Yarrowia lipolytica: one gene and its partners. The protein of the gene in region 2 purifies or fractionates together with the protein of the main gene of each other region. This does not show direct contact. Links are inferred from orthologs where the notes say so. Each region holds a gene or a part of one and is shown on either strand. Other genes may lie near its edges.

Region 1 (6,841 bases), on a different chromosome or scaffold from region 2:
AATAGATCATCATTGTTGGTAACGAATGAATGAAGAGCATGCAAAATAGTCTCTGCGGGCTGATGACATTCTACACTCTTAGTGTACTTTGCCTAGCAACCATTGTCGTTACAACTGTACGACTTCTTTCTATCAAGCTACGGTATATGTACTTGTACATTGTTCATGTCATTATCGTTACTCTGTATTGTGACTACTCGTATCGCTGAACAATAGCAGCACCAATAACCTTAGCATCCTTCAGAGTCAAGCTCTTGTCTCTAAGTTCCTTATTGGGGAATGTGGTCTGGAGAACGTATTCTCGACCAGAGGGGTTGTGTTCATCAACAAAATCGTAGAGGGACTGGACAGTGAGATCGGGGGAGAAGGAGGGAGTAAGACGAGTTCCGTCGCCAAGTCGAATCTGAATTCTGCTTCCTCCTGCTCCAGATGAGGAGTTTGAAGGACCAGATGAGGTAGCAGCAGGAGTAGGGGCGGAGGGTGGCGGAGTGGCGGAGGAGGAGGGGGTAGGCTCCCCAGGAACAGGAGATCCGAGACGATTACCAGAACCTCCGTAGACAGGCTTCTTCTCCACGTATGCCTCTTCACTTCGGTCCGTCACGTTAATATCAACGGCCTGGTTATGTTGGACATCCAGGAGAGCCAGAGGAGCTCGTCCTTGGTTGAGGGTCTCGAGGTACCGCTGGTTTCGGGGGTCGTCGTATCTGTACAGAGGACCATCCTCGACTGTGAAACCGTTCTGCCAGAAGGTGATTGATCGAGAGACCTTGGGGAGAGAGGTGGGGAGAGCAGACTCCACGGGTCGGCTTTGGACCTCGTCGGAGCCCAGAGTGAACCCTGTTCCGTGGAAGCTTCCCACCTGTTCCTCATCCTCTGACTCATCGTCGTTCTCACCTCGAGGTCTTGCTGGGTTGGCCTCAGCTCGTCGAATGATATCATTAACCAGAGGGTTGCCTCCCTGGTTGCCCTGCTGGCCAGGTCTGTTGGGGTTCTGGACAGCCAGAGCCGACTTTTCTCCTCCAGTGAATAGGTCCTGTCGCTTGGGAGGCGCATTGTCTCGCGACAGATCTCCCAGAGTTCTGACACCCGCCACGCCCCTTCTAGGAGCAGGAGCAGGGGCAGGGGCAGAAGGAGCAGGAGTGGTGCTACTGCTGGCTCCGCTGACAGGAGTTGACGACCCGGTACCGTCTCCGAGTCTGTATCCAGAGGGCTGGGGGTTGCTGAGGATTCCCTGTGGCTCAGAGGCAGCAGCAGCAGGATCATCTCTGCCAGCTAGGCCACTGAGGAAGCCCTGGATTCCGGCGGCAATTCCACTGGGGGCCAGACCCGAGGGGTTGGCGTATGCGTCCGAGTCCTCCTCGACGTCAATGTCCTCGGCATCGTCGTTTTCAGCATCCTCCTCGTTCTCCTCGGGGTCGTCGTTAGCCGACAAGAACAGATCGACAGCCTGAGCCACGTCCCAGTCGGTGTGGAGCAAGCAATCCTGTGCATCTTCGGGCGAGGACTGTGTGATTCCCACGAATTGCGCGATTCGTTCGGTTTTTTCTTCTTCAGATACCATTTCTAGTCGTTGTGGCAGCTTTTGGTTAAGACTTCCTCAATGGTGGCAAGTTAAGTGTAATGCTGGTCCGAGATACATTAAGCTTTTGGATATGCAAGATGATGGTACACCCGAAATCGAACGTCGATATGGAGGTGAAGAGATGGTGCGTTTTACAGGGGACATCTTTGCCTCGTTTGAACGGAGGTTGCTTGGTGCTTTCAGTCGCTTTGGTAGCTCCCGAGACTTTTGCATACCTTTTGGGGCCACGATTTTTGGTCCGGCGCCAACCTGCCCCAAAATGCAAGTTGGTCCCGTGCAACCTATGGAGGAAACTACTCGAAAAGTCTGAGTGTACTGTACCGGGAAGGGCTACGAAGGTATTCCATTACAAGGAGACCATTTCTGCCAGATTGGGGGTATATATCACATTGAGCAAGGGTTAACAACCTTTACCGTGTGTAGTCACGTGAAGTTTTGTGTTGCTGTGCATGTAGCAAGTACAGTACATACTGTGTGAGTAGGTGGCGGCTACAAGTGCATACTGTAGCTCTTGATATGTGCAACCCAAAAACAGTAAATTGATGCACATTTGTTTGAATAACCGCAGAATATTGGAAAAAATCGGAAATAATAGGTAAAAAAATATAAACCGCTAGTGCAACATATTTGGGGGAGGAGAGGGTATGGTGTGGACCTATTTGTCTGTCCCCGAGGCATACAGTGGTTTTTTTGCTCTAGACAGTGCCAATTTAACCCCAGATCACTCGGTCTTTCTTCGTTGCCCTATACACACCCAAACATGATGTTATAATAGTCACCACACAGACAACAATATCGTGCACATGTTTTCTTCCGCAAGATGACACGACAAAGATGCAACTTCCAGGTCAATATATATAGGTCGCCTACTCGTACGTGATGTTATATATACACCATCGACCAGACGCGTGCCTCCCAAGTTAAGATTACGTCATTTCATTTCTACCCCAGGAACTATGCACCCAGCGATATCGGCAGCTCCACGGAGAAGTCTTTTTCAGCGGACCCCAGAACATGTGTCCAAAGCGACGTGATAGAGACACAAAACAAAAACTACTAGTTGCTAACATGACGACGACTAAAAACATGTTATCCACATGCACTTGATATCTACAACGATTACAGGTATTGTGGACGCTGTGTGTACCAACCGAATAAAGTTGCATGAATGGGTTGGTCTATTCACATGGGTCAGAGTCACGTGAAGGCGCGTAATATGGGGTATGGAAGGGTCAAACACCACTCTACCCAATGAACAAAGCACACGGACGGTGTCTCCGCTTTTATCATCCGTCCATACGCCCGGCTGGCTTACATTTGCGTGTTCTTGATTGGCTGGATAATGTGCAGTTGTGCACGAACCTTATCAGTATGAGTCACCGTGATATTTCAGATCACGAAGTTTCACCCTTTTTGACACAAACCAACTAAAAGATTTTCCCCACACAACCGAAAAAATGCTGAGAAGTGCTCGATTTTGCCAGGCACGATTCTCGGCCATCAAGGCTCGTGGTCTTGCCACCACTGCCAACGCCTCCGGCCTCAGCGTGCCCGCTGACTTCAAGACCCGAACCCCTCCCTACGCGGAGCTCATCAACCGTCTTGATCAGGTCAAGAAGATTATCAACCGAAATGATTTGACCTTGGCTGAAAAAATTCTGTATTCACATCTTCACAACCCTGAGGAGACTCCCAGCATCACTCGAGGTGACACTTACCTCAAGCTCAACCCCGACCGAGTGGCCATGCAGGATGCCTCTGCTCAGATGGCTCTGCTGCAGTTTATGACCTGTGGTCTTCCTTCCACCGCCGTGCCTGCGTCCATTCACTGTGACCATCTGATTGTTGGCCGAGACGGTGCCGATGATGATCTGACCCGATCTATCGCTACCAACCAGGAGGTGTTCGACTTCCTGCAGCAATGTGCCGAGAAGTACGGCATCCAGTTCTGGGGCCCCGGATCCGGTATCATCCACCAGATTGTGCTGGAGAACTTCTCTGTTCCCGGTCTCATGATGCTCGGAACCGACTCTCACACTCCCAACGCTGGTGGTCTCGGTGCCATTGCCATCGGTGTTGGAGGAGCCGACGCTGTCGACGCTTTGACCGGAACTCCCTGGGAACTGAAGGCCCCCAAGATTCTCGGAGTCAAGCTGACTGGAAAGCTGTCCGGCTGGGCTTCTCCCAAGGATGTTATTACCCATCTGGCTGGCAAGCTGACTGTGCGAGGAGGAACCGGAAACATCATCGAGTACCACGGCGAGGGTGTTGACTCCCTGTCCTGCACCGGTATGGCCACAATTTGCAACATGGGTGCCGAGGTCGGTGCTACCACCTCTACGTTCCCCTTTACGGAGTCCATGCGACGATACTTGGAGGCCACCGGACGAGCTCCCATTGCCGCAGCAGCAGCAGCTGCTCGAGACCGAGGCTTCTTGGCTGCTGACGAGGGTGCTCAGTATGACGAGGTTGTAGAGGTCAACCTGTCCGAGCTCGAGCCCTGTATCAACGGTCCCTTCACTCCCGATCTGGCCACCCCCCTCTCCAAGTACTCCACCAAGGTCACCTCTGAGAAGTGGCCCGATACCGTGTCTGCCGGTCTCATTGGATCATGCACCAACTCCTCCTACGAGGACATGACCCGAGTCGCCTCTCTGGTTGAGCAGGCCCGAGACAACGGTCTCGAGGCCAAGATTCCCTTCTTCATCACCCCCGGATCCGAGCAGATTCGAGCCACCATCAAGAAGGACGGTCTGACAGACGTGTTCGAGTCTGCTGGTGCGGTGGTTCTGGCCAACGCCTGTGGACCCTGTATCGGTCAGTGGGATCGAACTGACGAGACCAAGCCCGGCGAGTTCAACTCCATCTTCACCTCTTTCAACCGAAACTTCCGAGCCCGAAACGATGGTAACCCCGAAACCATGAACTTCCTGACCTCTCCCGAGATTGTCACCGCTATGATCTACTCTGGAGACGCTCACTTCAACCCCATGACCGACTCCATCACCACCAAGGACGGCAAGGAATTCAAGTTCCAGCCCCCTAAGGGTACCGAGCTGCCCGAGGAGTTTGCCAAGGGCCGACCCGAGTTCTACCCCGAGGCTGCCCCCCAGCCCCATCCCGAGGTGAACGTGACTGTCTCCCCCGATTCCGAGCGACTGCAGCTCCTTGAGCCTTTTGAGCCCTTTAACAACCAGGAGCTCAAGCTCTCGGTACTCATGAAGGTTGAGGGCAAGTGCACCACCGACCACATTTCGGCCGCTGGTGCCTGGCTCAAGTACAAGGGCCATCTTGAGAACATTTCCTACAACACCCTGATTGGTGCTCTTAACAAGGAGACCCAGAAGGTCAACCACACTATTGATGCCGCTGACGGCTCCGAGCAGTCTATCCCCGACCTCATGATCAAGTGGAAGGAGCAGGGCAAGCCCTGGATTGTTGTTGCTGAGCACAACTACGGAGAGGGTTCCGCCCGAGAGCATGCTGCTCTGTCTCCCCGATTCCTCGGTGGACAGGCCATCCTAGTCAAGTCTTTCGCTCGAATTCACGAGACCAACCTCAAGAAGCAGGGTATGCTTCCTCTGACCTTTGAGAACGAGGCCGACTACGACAAGATCCAGGCCTGCGACACTCTGGAGACCCTGGACCTCCTGGACATGCTTGAGAAGGGTGGTGACAACGGTGGCTTTGTCCAGATGCGAGCTACCAAGTCTGACGGCTCTACCTACGACTTCCGAGCCCGACACACCATGTCTGCCGACCAGGTTGATTTCTTCAAGGCTGGTTCTGCCATCAACTTCATTGGAGCCCAGAAGGCTGCCAACAAGTAAAGCCAGTAGTCTCCTTAGAGCAAGAGAGGCTGCACCTTCAAAAATAACAACCCCCCAAAACTGTAAAAATGAATTAAAGTCGAAAATGAGTTCCGAGATGAATAAAAGCCCAACGCACAGTGCAAATAATATTCCACTGTACCCCGTATAAGACCAATCAATATTATCTTTTGAGGCCCCCCCTCCGCTCCAAACATTCTTCGGGTCTCATTTGCTTTGAAAACCCATGTGTGCCTCAATGTGGCAATTCCAGGAAGGGAAAGGGGTCAAGTCAAGGGGCAATCGTGAAGTGTCGCAACTGTTGTGCAGAAGGACGGGAGCTAATGTCGACAGTTAAACAACAGCTGTTGATTTCGAAACATACTTCTTTCGAGGCTGCCGCACGCTCGCTGAGGCTCTTGTCGTATAGTCATGTGTGCCTGTGTGATGATGCCTCGAAGCAGGCCAGGTTGTGTGGCAGTCGGGGGTATACGAGTACGATACACAACAGAGAGCGGTCTTTGTGTATAAAAAGTCGTATTTAAGACTCCTGTGGGGGGGAATTGTACACGCGTTCACGCCGGAAAGATATTATTATTGCTGTTTGCTCCTGTTTATAAAGGCAGAAACACGCGCCAGCCTGAACACCAAAAGGAGATACCGAAACAAAGAAAACTGTGGGACGATAATTAGTTATGGAATGGAGACCCCGCACTACTAATATGCGCTATATTCTCTTTCCAATCCGGGGTCCCCGAGACTCGTAACTGTACGCCTTTGTTAATCAGCCTGGTAGACCTGTCAACCTCCTCATGTTGTCCTGTCATTCAATTGGTATTCACAAACCAACATCACAGAATGCTGATCTGCAAGTGCATTCGAAAATTGTGATTTCGATTGACACCAATGGATGGTTTTCAACTTTGGCACTCATTGAATTGCCATTGTTGGTCCGTGACCTGGACCAGAGCTCAACGAAATCATTTTGTGCAGTCAGATGACACAACAATATGAGAGCACAGATTGAGATGCATGCTTCCAGGAACGTACAAACGGACCCCCAAGTCGTGAGATACTTTGTTACGTGTACCAATAAGTTGGAGTATTCGCTAAAGACGAAAAACGCTCTGATTTGGTTACGGCACTGGTCACCTGCATTCCTAAAATTAATCGCACATCTGGTATTGTCTTACAGCATGTCCACCTCTCCTCCTCTCCTTGGGTACAGTATTGTACAGAAGAATGCAGCCTTTCATACATAAATCCCAAGTAATTTTACGAGTGATTTGGGTAACTGTCCCATTACGTCATGGGCTCAACTCTCCCCGAGCCATTGTGGATCGTCACAGGATTTAATTATATGTCCTGTCCGAAACTCTATTCATCACTGCCGTACATGGATTCTGCAATGTTGGATATCCATCTCAACTGTACGTAATTGTATGTCGTA
Region 2 (5,266 bases):
TCGGCTGTGCATTCAGGGGTGCTGCTGTACCAGATTGTGACCCTCAACGTGGCCGTCAACTCGTACTCCAACGCGCTGCTGACCCTGCTGTTGTCCAACCAGTTCAACGAGGTCAAGTCGACCGTTTTTAAGCGGTTTGAACGCGAGTCTCTGTTCCAGCTCACCTGTGCAGATATCACCGAGCGGTTCCAGTTGTGGGTGCTACTGGTGTCCATCGGACTCCGGAACGTGGTCGAGGTCTCCAATACGGGTCTCGTTCCATCGTCGTGGTCGGGCTGGAATCGATGGCTAGGGGCTCTGCTGGGTCCTGCTCTAGTGGTGCTGGGCTCCGAAGTCGCTGTCGACTGGCTCAAGCACTCGTACATTGCGAAATTCAACAATTTCCGTCCCAGAGTGTACCGCAAGTTTCTGGACGTGCTCACTCAGGACTATCACGAGCATGCATTCAATGACCAGCTCATTACTCGACGAATGGGCCTTCCTACCACGGCTCTGGCGTGCGTCTTCATGCGCATGTGCTACCAGAGCTACCAGATTCTTTTCGAGTCTGGAGAGTCGCGTTTTGTCAAGGGAACGCCTACAGTCAGTCCCCAACTGAGAGAGACATTGGCACAGGTGGACACAAAGTTCGTCAACAACGTGTCCGTTTCTGAGATTGCCCAGGCCACAAGGACGTTTTTCAGCTCGTTGTACAACGGCACATCGCCTCTGGTGTCGTTTTCTTCCAACATTATCCCTGTGTGGGCGAAATTCGACATTTACTATGTGACGTATCTGCTGACGATGATTCTGGTGTTTGCGCTTGTGTTTGCCGTACTGGTCATCTTCAAGTTGTTTCTGGGCCTCACCTTGTTGAGGTACAGTCACAGCAAGAGAAGACGACAGAAGCGAACGTTTGACGAGATGGAAAAGAAGAGATCTGAGTCAATCAAGGACGATTATCTGCCTGGAAAGACGAGGGGGGGACAGGGCGTGATTGAGCTGACGGACGATATGCAGCAGGGTCTGTACAGCGACGGGGAGGAAAAGAAGGAGAAGCAGCACAAGAAGAAGGTGGTGGAGCTGCAGAATGTCAGCAGGTTTGATATGGTGAGCAAGAGGATTTGGTAGCCGAGTGCGGCGAGTGTTCCAATGAAGCGTAGCCTTGGCTACCCGGGGCACCATTCCTCCACTAGCTCGCATACCTCCCATATTTATTTATTTTATGAGCATTTTTAATGATTGGTCATGTGACCGCAGAGATGTATTGCTGTGTCATGCCTTCTCCAGCAGTTCTTGCAAGTCATACGTCTGAGCTGAAACAATCAGATCGCGGTGTTTTCGAGTTGTAGATGGTCTTCAGGGCTTCCCTGAAGAGAATTATCACCGACAGTTTGTCCATATCTCTGGTTGGATCACAAGATACTGTCACTCCAGTCACGACCAGCCAGTAGTACCAAGAGGTGTTTGATTGAACGCTAGACATTCGTCGGTACTGTACTCCAATCTCAAGCTTTTTGCCAGTCGACACTTCTCCTTCCCTCGACTTGCCCTCTCTACTGCCATCGTCAATGACAAACTACACGCCTCTCACCCATTAATCATTCAATCTATTATATACACTTATGGTCTATCTGCTGTGTGCGCATAGTTAACGAGGGACTCAGCAAAGTGACACCAATCGTCTCGCTTTCATTCGGTTAGGTGGCCGCAGTGATCCTCCAAAAGAAGTCAGCCGCTTCGCACCTACTTCTTAGAGGGAGGGAGGCACCTCCTCGCCCTTCTCCTCAGCCAGTCGCTTCTCGAGCTTCTCAAACTCCTCGAGAGAAACCTTCTCCTCGGGATCGAGGAACTGCTCGACACCAGTCACCTCCTCGACGTAGTGCATGAGCATGCTCTCGATACCGTTCTTGAGGGTGACGGCTGAAGAGTCACAAGATCGGCAGGCGCCCAGCAGCTTGAGGTGCACGACGCCGGTGTCCTCGTCAAAGCCTCGGAATGCAATGTCGCCACCATCTTCCTGGATGGCCGGTCGGATTCGGGTTTCGATGAGCTCCTTGATCATAGACACAACCTCGGAGTCGTCGTCACAGGGAGCCGTATCCTCGGCGGCGGTGGTGCCCTCCATGACAATGGGGGCGCCGGCAGTGATGTGTTCGGTGAGAATGGAGAAGACCTCGGGCTTGAGGGTGTTCCAGTGGGTGTCCTGGGCCTTTTCGACGGTGATGAAGTCGGATCCGAACATGACCGATCGGACGCCGTCTACACCAAACAGCTTCTTGGCCAGTGGGGACGAGTGGGCCTCTCGGCCGCTGGTAAACTCGACGGTGTGGCCCTCGGGGAGAATCTGGACCGAGGGCAGGAACTTGAGGGCGTCCTCGTTGGGGGTGGAGGCCGTCTGGATGAACATGGTTCTGTGGAGGCTGGGGAGCTTGCCGGCGGCGATCTGGGGCCGCAGAGCCGGCTGTGTGAATTGTCGCGTGAGAGCGAGTCGAACGGCGGGTCGCTGGGCCCGGTTCATGAGTCGCACGGCGTTTCGGAGCATTTTGTGTTGTGTGGTGGAGATGAAAAGTGGTGGTGGACTTGGTGTTATAAGTCTAGTGGTGATAATTTAAACTTTGCTCGTGCATGGGAGGTGAATTGGAGAAAAGAAGATAGAGTGCCTTGAAGTGGGTCAATATTAGAGCTATGAGGACTTTAAATATATATTGTTGATCACTAATACGAGATAAATCCATTGGTAGTTTCAGAATTCCGATAGACCCATTATTTACTCGACTACTTACTCCATCCTATCATCTTCCCCGGCTTGTATTACACAAGTTCAAACTCAAATTTGTAATCTTTGCCACTCGCCAAAAAGTTCGATAGCAATCCGATTTGAGCCGGAAAAGAAGGAATATATGCTGATTTTGGCGATGGAATCTGTTTCCAACCTTGAAAATCGCCTTTTCCCCCTCATAATCCCCCCAAATCTGCCCTTTTGCCAATTAACCTCATCCGGTTATGCACCGCAATCTCGCCCTGCACATCTACTCCCAACCAAAAAAAATATGCATTCTTACATAATCCCAAAGAGCCGCGCGGTGATTGGCTGCAGCGGCAAAGAGGACTCTCAATTCAAGGTGCTGGCGCTGGGTTCGCTTTCTCCCCGCAATCGTCGTTGCTACATGTGACCGCAATTGCTTGCTCCGAATCTAAACTCTGTTTGCTTAGTAAGCGTACTGCTGGGAGTTCACAGGACTGTGATGGCCGAGTCGGAGCCGAGATGTAAGACAGAGGCTCCAGGGCTTGGTCGAGAAAGCTGGTGGGAATTGGGTGGTTTATTTGGGCTTGAATTGGTCGGTTTAGTTGGTATTTCGACTTTCAGGTCACCATTTAAAGAATTGGTGCTGCTGAAGAGAGTGCCAACGATAGGTAAATAGCTAGACCAGAAAGGAGATGAGAGTCGAAACTGAACAAAAGGAGAGCTCGACCGCACATGGTGATAATACCGTCTAACGTGGGTCTAGACATGTTTTTGTGGGAGAAAAACAATGATGTTAATGAAGTACTCACTAGAGCCATTAACCTGAGGTGTGAGTTAGTTCAACTGAGCTGTACCGTTGTCAGTCTACTTGTATGTTTCTGAGTGCTGATGAAGAAGAGAAGAGAGACATTGGGGAAACAAGGCGGATATATAGAGTGGGAAATCTGTCTGTGTAACTCATGCAGACTTTCTGATTGGGCAAATCAAAACAACACGGGCTGGATTGAAAGTGATATTGTCATTAGTGTTTGGTGGACTGCAGGTGCGTGCATATGAAGGTCGTAGGAGTATTGGAACGGGCTGAAATTTTGAATGTAGAGGTAGATGTGACGTATGTGAAATAGATTTCAATTTCAGTTCGTCATAGGGTTCAATTTCTCTTTTCGACTCGATAAAAAACTGTATATTCGACAAGTTATGTGACATTTCCAGCCCCGCTCGTATTTCGGATATATGTCAGATAAGATGTTATCTGTTGTCTACATTTAGGTAACTCAACGGAAGTGTGAATTGACAAACACATCTCTGCTCAGGCTAGATTATTCAGATTCGAAATTTGAAAGAAGAAACGGAATCAGCATGTGCACATTACCATACAAAAGTGTCGTTATTTTTGCAATATCGTGCCTCAACATGAAGTGGTGAAATCAAGCGTATGTATATACAGCCTTACTCGTGTTCAGAGCGAGGCATGTTCCACGTCCAATCTGATCTTAAGCATCAATGTATATATAATATATAGGACTATATCTTTTAATATATATATATATATATATATAGTTTTTTTGGAAACACTACTATAAAGGTATGTTTAATGTTGGCTCAGGTGAATTGCCTGATTGAGAAGCGAATGGACCAGCTTCTGGTCTCAATGAGAGCTATTATAGACGCCAAGTTGAATTCAATCTCTAATTTGCCCGTCTTGTGTCTGAGAACAACGACGTTGGAAATGGACGATGACATTGTATCTAAGAGAAAATCCCTGTCCCTCACCAAGAACAAGAAAAGCGTCAATGATGCAGATACGGAATTGATACTTGTGATTAAGAAATGGTGATAGCTCTCTTTAGTTTCAGGTATCCAGACTGCAACCATTGACTCTAGCGTCAATGCAGACTGTGGACCTCTTCCCGACGTACTTGGTTGGTACAGTAGTCGCTGATGAAATCCGTATAAGGAGCTCATTACCGACCCAGCAGATAACACAGCCGAGAACCAATCAAACCCGAAAGTTGACCAGAGATTCCCCAACCCATTTCTACACTTTCAATCCAGCTTTCTTGATATGACAAAAACTGCGCATCCCGAGTAGCATTGTCAGCCGCATCCGCAACAACAGTTACAGACATAAACGAAAGTTCACGTGATTGATCCCTTCATTTCCCGTGACTCGTTCGATGACTCTTTCGCGGCTAAGACAAGTTTCACGCTAAGGCTCTACTTGTACAGTAATTATGCTGCCTATTTGTACAGCATGTACTGTCGTAAATGTGCACCACATGTCGTCGGGAAAGTGTCCAGTTTGGTGGGCAGAAATAGTTTACGTTAGCACAATACAAGTAGCGCTTGAATCGACACATTCAACACTTGCAAACCCCAGCCATTATCATGTTCACGTGCCCTCGTTGTAGGGTGCTTTGTCATCATATCAAATAAGGTTTGGGAGAATGCATGCGGTTAATTACTAGATCCGACGATAAGTAGATGGTCCGGAGACACTCCAGAGTCGTCGTCAACACTCCATCTACGCCATGTCCA
Region 3 (5,109 bases), on a different chromosome or scaffold from region 2:
CAACCCCGACAAGCTGGACGAGGTGGACGCTGCATCCAAGCTGGTGGAATTCCGGGAGAAGCAGCCCAACTTTGTGGGTCTTTCGTTTGAGTCCATTTCTTCTGTGGGTCCCAACGCTGCCATCATCCACTACGCTCCCGAGAAGCCCAAGGCTGCCATTCTCGACCCATCCAAGGTATACTTGTCCGATACGGGCTCCCAGTTTCTTGAAGGAACCACAGACACCACTCGAACGTGGCACTTCGGCAGCCCCAGCGACGAGGAGCGAACCTCAAACACGTTGGTTCTCAAGGGCCACATTGCTCTGGCCGAGTCGGTGTTCCCCGAGGGCACCACCGGTTTTGCTCTCGACATTTTGGCCCGTCAGTTCCTGTGGAAGTACGGTCTGGACTACCGACACGGCACAGGCCACGGTATTGGCGCCTTCCTCAACGTGCACGAGGGCCCCTTCGGAATCGGCTTCCGACCCGCCTACAGAGACTTCCCCATGGAGATTGGAAATGTGGTGTCCAACGAGCCTGGTTACTACAAGGACGGCGAGTACGGTATTCGAATCGAGTCTGTTCTGATCTGCAAGGAAAAGAAGACCCAGGAAAACTTTGGAGGTAAGAAGTATCTGGGCTTTGAGACCATCACCCGGGTGCCTCTGTGCCACAAGCTGATTGACGTTTCTATGCTGGAGGACTCGGAGAAGAAGTGGGTCAACCACTACCACCAGGTTGTGCGGAACGAGGTTGGACCTCTGGTTGAGGGCGAGGTCAAGGAGTGGTTGCTCAAGGAGACTGCTCCTCTGGAGTAGACATGTCACTGTAATTATTCTGAATGCATAATGATTTACGAGCGTTGAGGTTGACTGTATGAACAATGGCATGCCGGTATAGGTGCTGGACACCAGAGACCACTAAAGGGCCCCACTGAGTGCTGTACTAGAGCTTTAGAACAGTTTCTGGTCTTCCTGGAGTGCACTGAGGCTGAAGAGAGATACAAGTACATACGGCATGTAACTGTGATGGGATGAGGACTATAAGAAGGAAGCAGTACCGTGCACGACTTGAATTGATGGGCGTCGAGCTTTTATTCTGGCTGTTCTAGAAGTGTGATAGCGATGATGGGCACGTTCAAGCGTTAATTACAGATTCTTTCCCGACAAAGAACGGGTCCCTGTCGGAAGCTACTGCCAAAACCACGGTGAAGTATGGGACACCAAAGGGAGCCTTTCGGAGGAAAAAGCAATAACTATTCCGGAAGTCCGCCAACTCCAAGATCGGGTATTATATATTGAGAGCTGAGATGAAGGGCTCAACATGTCCTCTTAGTTATGGACGCTGGTAACATGTCTTGAGATGTGCTTCTATTGCTGCTACTTTTCTAGACAGTACATACAATGCAAGTAGGAGCACTCGCAAAAACGGTCAATCTGGTAAGTGACCGACGTGGTACCGAGGCTGATACGATATACTGCCCTGGAAACAGCTTGTACTCGTACTGGCACATGTAACAACTGTAGCAGTTAAAGCAACAAGCTAATCACTCAAGGCATATTATAGATCTATCACTCAGGACACCTTATAGATCATTCTCTTCATCAGATCTATCACTTCATCTTATAGATCTACCAAAGATAACGATTCACAAACCACGCTCTACAATTAGGAATCCTACTCCGCACCCCCGCCCAACGCCAACAGGATCCGATTCCATTCCAGAAGTGGTCTTTCTAAAGCCGGTCGATTGTGCGGCTCAGATAAAGTTGATGTTCATGGTTTCTTTTTCATATCTGCTGATTCTCAGACTTTGCCCTGGAGATCAGACATGGCAACTATGTGTGTATGTATGTACATACGATGATAATACCAACACAGGGTAGGATGACTCTTGGCGAATCGATGGCGAGATGTTAATCAGCAGACTCGGATAAGGCAACCTTTTCTCCTCCAGTATCATTTTTCTATCCGTATTCGGACTTGTACGATACTCCTGCTACCTGCTAGTGGTTTTGATCATGTACATTTTGATCCATGTTGATGCCCTGGATTCAGAACCCTAACGCCAGATTACGCACAATGGTACCTTGTGCTTACCCCAACATTTGCTCAGCCAATGGGCGTCCGTGTAATAAAAACCCGGTCAGCATATTACTAATCAAGTTTCCACAGCCTTCCATGGCATTCCAGCGCCAATATCGACGCAGATACACACTCTCAAGCTGGTTTTGCCAGTCGCCCGACCTTGCCGGTTAGTCTTCCTCGACTCTTTTAAGCCGCACAATGTTTGCACCGATGGTTACTGGCGGAGATCATGTGATGCATCAGGGGCAATGTGAGAGCAAGTCCCACCAGATTTATCGGCGCCGACAAGAGTTTTGGACCGCGGAAACCCGGAAATTTGCCCTGACCAAAGACTCAGGTCGGTGCTGCAACCACAAACACCCGATAATATCGTCCATATGGCTCACTCCGGAGACCCTTGCGGTCACAAGATAAACTGCCTGTTAACGAGAGTGCAGAGTCATTTCCGAAACCTTATTTTGGAAATATAACGGTTGCCTGATTGGCTGTCGGTGGGAAGCTTCGGGTGCGTAAAGGGGGGGATTTTGGGGGCAGAAAACCAGATTAGGGCTGTTTTGAGCTGCCTAGTAATATATGGACGTTTTTTCCATCTGCAAATTCCGCACAATTAAACCAGTTGCACACGTTTCCGTGGTTTATGACCATCTCATTACGTCACCAGTTATGGGGAACCTTATTGCCTCTCTTTCTGAACTCTAAACCCAGCCAATCACAGCTCGAACATATGTAAGCTTGGTGTCCCAACAGCAGCCCCGGGGCGGACCCGAAGTTATTTAACCTCCACACATTTTGATTTATAAGAGCAAAGGTTCCCTCCAACGCTACTAAGCCAACACAACAACACTACACACACAACATATGACAATGTCACTACGAAACAAATTGACGGTTGGAAAGCGATTCCTACAGACGGCGGAGCGGTCGACTCCTTCCATGACCCCGTTCATGCTCAACAACCCGAATGCGTACCATTCGTCCAAGAGCGACAACCAGGCCGAGAACAAGTCGTCTTCGTCTCAGCCCCAGGGATTCACATGGGCCCGTCACCAGCTGCCCCGTTTCGACGCCGCTTCCAAGTCGTCCAAGATCGAGACCCCCAAACCCTTTGCATTCAAATTCCCCAACACACAGGACAAGTCGTCGCGACCTGCCACCACTCCTTTTGCATTCCGACCTGCCGCCAAGACCAGCGCACCGGCCGCTGCTCCTACTAAGGCTGCTGCCCCCGCTGAAAAGGCTGCTGCTCCCGCCCCCGCTCCCAAGCGAACCCGAAAGTTGCGACCCCGAAAGGCCGTCATCACTCTTTCGCCCACAGCTGTCAAGCACCTCAAGGACCTCCTTGACCAGCCCGAGCCAAAGCTCATTCGAATTGGCGTAAGAAACCGAGGATGTTCCGGACTCACCTACCACATTGACTACGTGGACAAGCCCGCCAAGTTTGACGAGGAGGTTGTCCAGGACGGCGTGCGAGTGCTCATCGACTCCAAGGCCCTGTTTAGCATTATCGGATCCGAGATGGACTGGCTCGACGACAAGCTGTCTTCGCGGTTCATTTTCCGAAACCCCAACTCCAAGGGAGAGTGTGGATGTGGCGAGTCCTTCATGGTTTAAGAAGGATGATCGTTCAGAGGAGACGGATACAAAGATAAGACGAGACAATGCTCAAACGAGTACCCTGCATTATTTATAGCATAATATTATATTAGATATCAACATTAGTACGAGTGGAAGTATCGTTGTCGATAGGTTCTTTCCTCTAATGGGTGCCTAAATGCTCCTCACGAGCAGAAGATGAGAGATGAACACGTTCAGCGCGTTCGTGTCTTACAAAGTGTGTATTTACGCACGCGCGTTGTAGCTGAAGACTGTGGACGTCTAAGTAAGTCCAAGTACATGTACTCGTACTTGACTCTTCTATACAGACGGTTATTGCTACGCTTACACTTATATCGTAGTCGTGGATAGAGTCGTCTGAAGCAATTTTGTAGGCTCATAGAAAGGTCTAGTCGTTTGTGGTCTCATTACATCAACTACCGGTTGAGGAGATGATTGGAAATACAATTACAAGCAATACTCGTATTATGATACCAATGGCTCTCTACCTCATGATAGCAAGCCATGGCATGCTGTACACAGCCAATATGGGTACTGTATATGGATACAGCTGCAACACTTTAGAACATTGCCGAGTTCAGAGACATCTCTTGTACACGTCCAGCTCGCACGTACAGTATCATGCAATATATTCCTATAGCACACCTCCAGGGGTACCTACGACGACGCCTGTCTGTTTCATGCCCTCGATATGGCGTAGCATGAAGACGGGCTGTTTTCCGGCGTCTTGCAGCTCTTTGAAAATGATGAGCGGTTTTTCCTCAAGCCCCAGAAGCCGTTCCTGGTCTCCATAGCACACCAGCAGCGCATACTGCTTCCAGTCGCCGTTGATCTTGTATCGTCGTAGAGCTGCCGGCAGCACCTTGTAGCAGGGGTCGTCTAGCGTCACTCGGAACGACTTGAACGGTTCTGTCGCCAGAGTGCTGGTGGACTGGCTGCTGTTAGAAACCGGTTGGCTGGTGCTGGTGGGTTGTGCGTTGGTGCTGCTTGGCTGGGCCCCAGGCGAAACCAAGGATGTGTTGGAGAAGTTGACTTGTGACGATGCGGCAGACCCGCTCTGGTAGGGATGGGAGAAGTGTAGGGTGGTAGAGCCCCCCGGCGTAACTACGGGAGTGGCAGCCACCGAGGAGTCTGAGGGAGACAATAACGACTTGACTGAGCCGAGATAGAGATTCGGCCGTTTCTGTTCCGAGGGTCCAGAAGTTCCGGAGGAGCTCGCTGTTGCTGCAGACTCGGGTTCCAGAGTTGTGGGCGACTTCTGGGCACTCTTGTTGTTCAACTTGCTCAGCTTCCGGGCTATAGAAGGGCCCGGGTTGTTGGCCCCGGAACCTGGCTCTTTGGCGGCTGTATTTGGAGCAGCAGCGTCATTGGGGGTTCCTGGCGAATGTAAGTAATGGGCATGGATGGGGTTGGTTCCATCAGGAGT

Evidence for each region. Proteins that work in one complex are often made in the same cells at the same time.
Region 1: the proteins of YALI1_B00242g (region 2) and YALI1_E17935g purify together in Saccharomyces cerevisiae (affinity purification with mass spectrometry; 3 studies listed by BioGRID, with this or other methods). This does not show direct contact. The link is inferred for Yarrowia lipolytica from reciprocal best matches to the Saccharomyces cerevisiae genes NFU1 and ACO2.
Region 3: the proteins of YALI1_B00242g (region 2) and YALI1_E22961g purify together in Saccharomyces cerevisiae (affinity purification with mass spectrometry; 3 studies listed by BioGRID, with this or other methods). This does not show direct contact. The link is inferred for Yarrowia lipolytica from reciprocal best matches to the Saccharomyces cerevisiae genes NFU1 and ISA1.

The regions. Positions count from the first base shown.
Region 1 is NC_090774.1:1,790,461-1,797,301, forward strand, and holds YALI1_E17935g (uncharacterized protein), read left to right. Parts: upstream 1-3,039; coding exon 3,040-5,412; downstream 5,413-6,841. Other genes in the region: YALI1_E17920g (uncharacterized protein), read right to left, coding at 194-1,561; YALI1_E17973g (uncharacterized protein), read left to right, coding at 6,841-6,841. UniProt on the Saccharomyces cerevisiae protein: Catalyzes the reversible dehydration of (R)-homocitrate to cis-homoaconitate, a step in the alpha-aminoadipate pathway for lysine biosynthesis.
Region 2 is NC_090771.1:21,480-26,745, reverse strand, and holds YALI1_B00242g (uncharacterized protein), read right to left. Parts: upstream 2,525-5,266; coding exon 1,733-2,524; downstream 1-1,732. Other genes in the region: YALI1_B00273g (uncharacterized protein), read left to right, coding at 1-1,110; YALI1_B00214g (uncharacterized protein), read left to right, coding at 5,260-5,266. UniProt on the Saccharomyces cerevisiae protein: Involved in iron homeostasis within the mitochondrion where it is involved in the assembly of iron-sulfur proteins.
Region 3 is NC_090774.1:2,293,232-2,298,340, forward strand, and holds YALI1_E22961g (uncharacterized protein), read left to right. Parts: upstream 1-2,927; coding exon 2,928-3,680; downstream 3,681-5,109. Other genes in the region: YALI1_E22921g (uncharacterized protein), read left to right, coding at 1-799; YALI1_E22988g (uncharacterized protein), read right to left, coding at 4,318-5,109. UniProt on the Saccharomyces cerevisiae protein: Involved in the assembly of mitochondrial and cytoplasmic iron-sulfur proteins. Probably involved in the binding of an intermediate of Fe/S cluster assembly.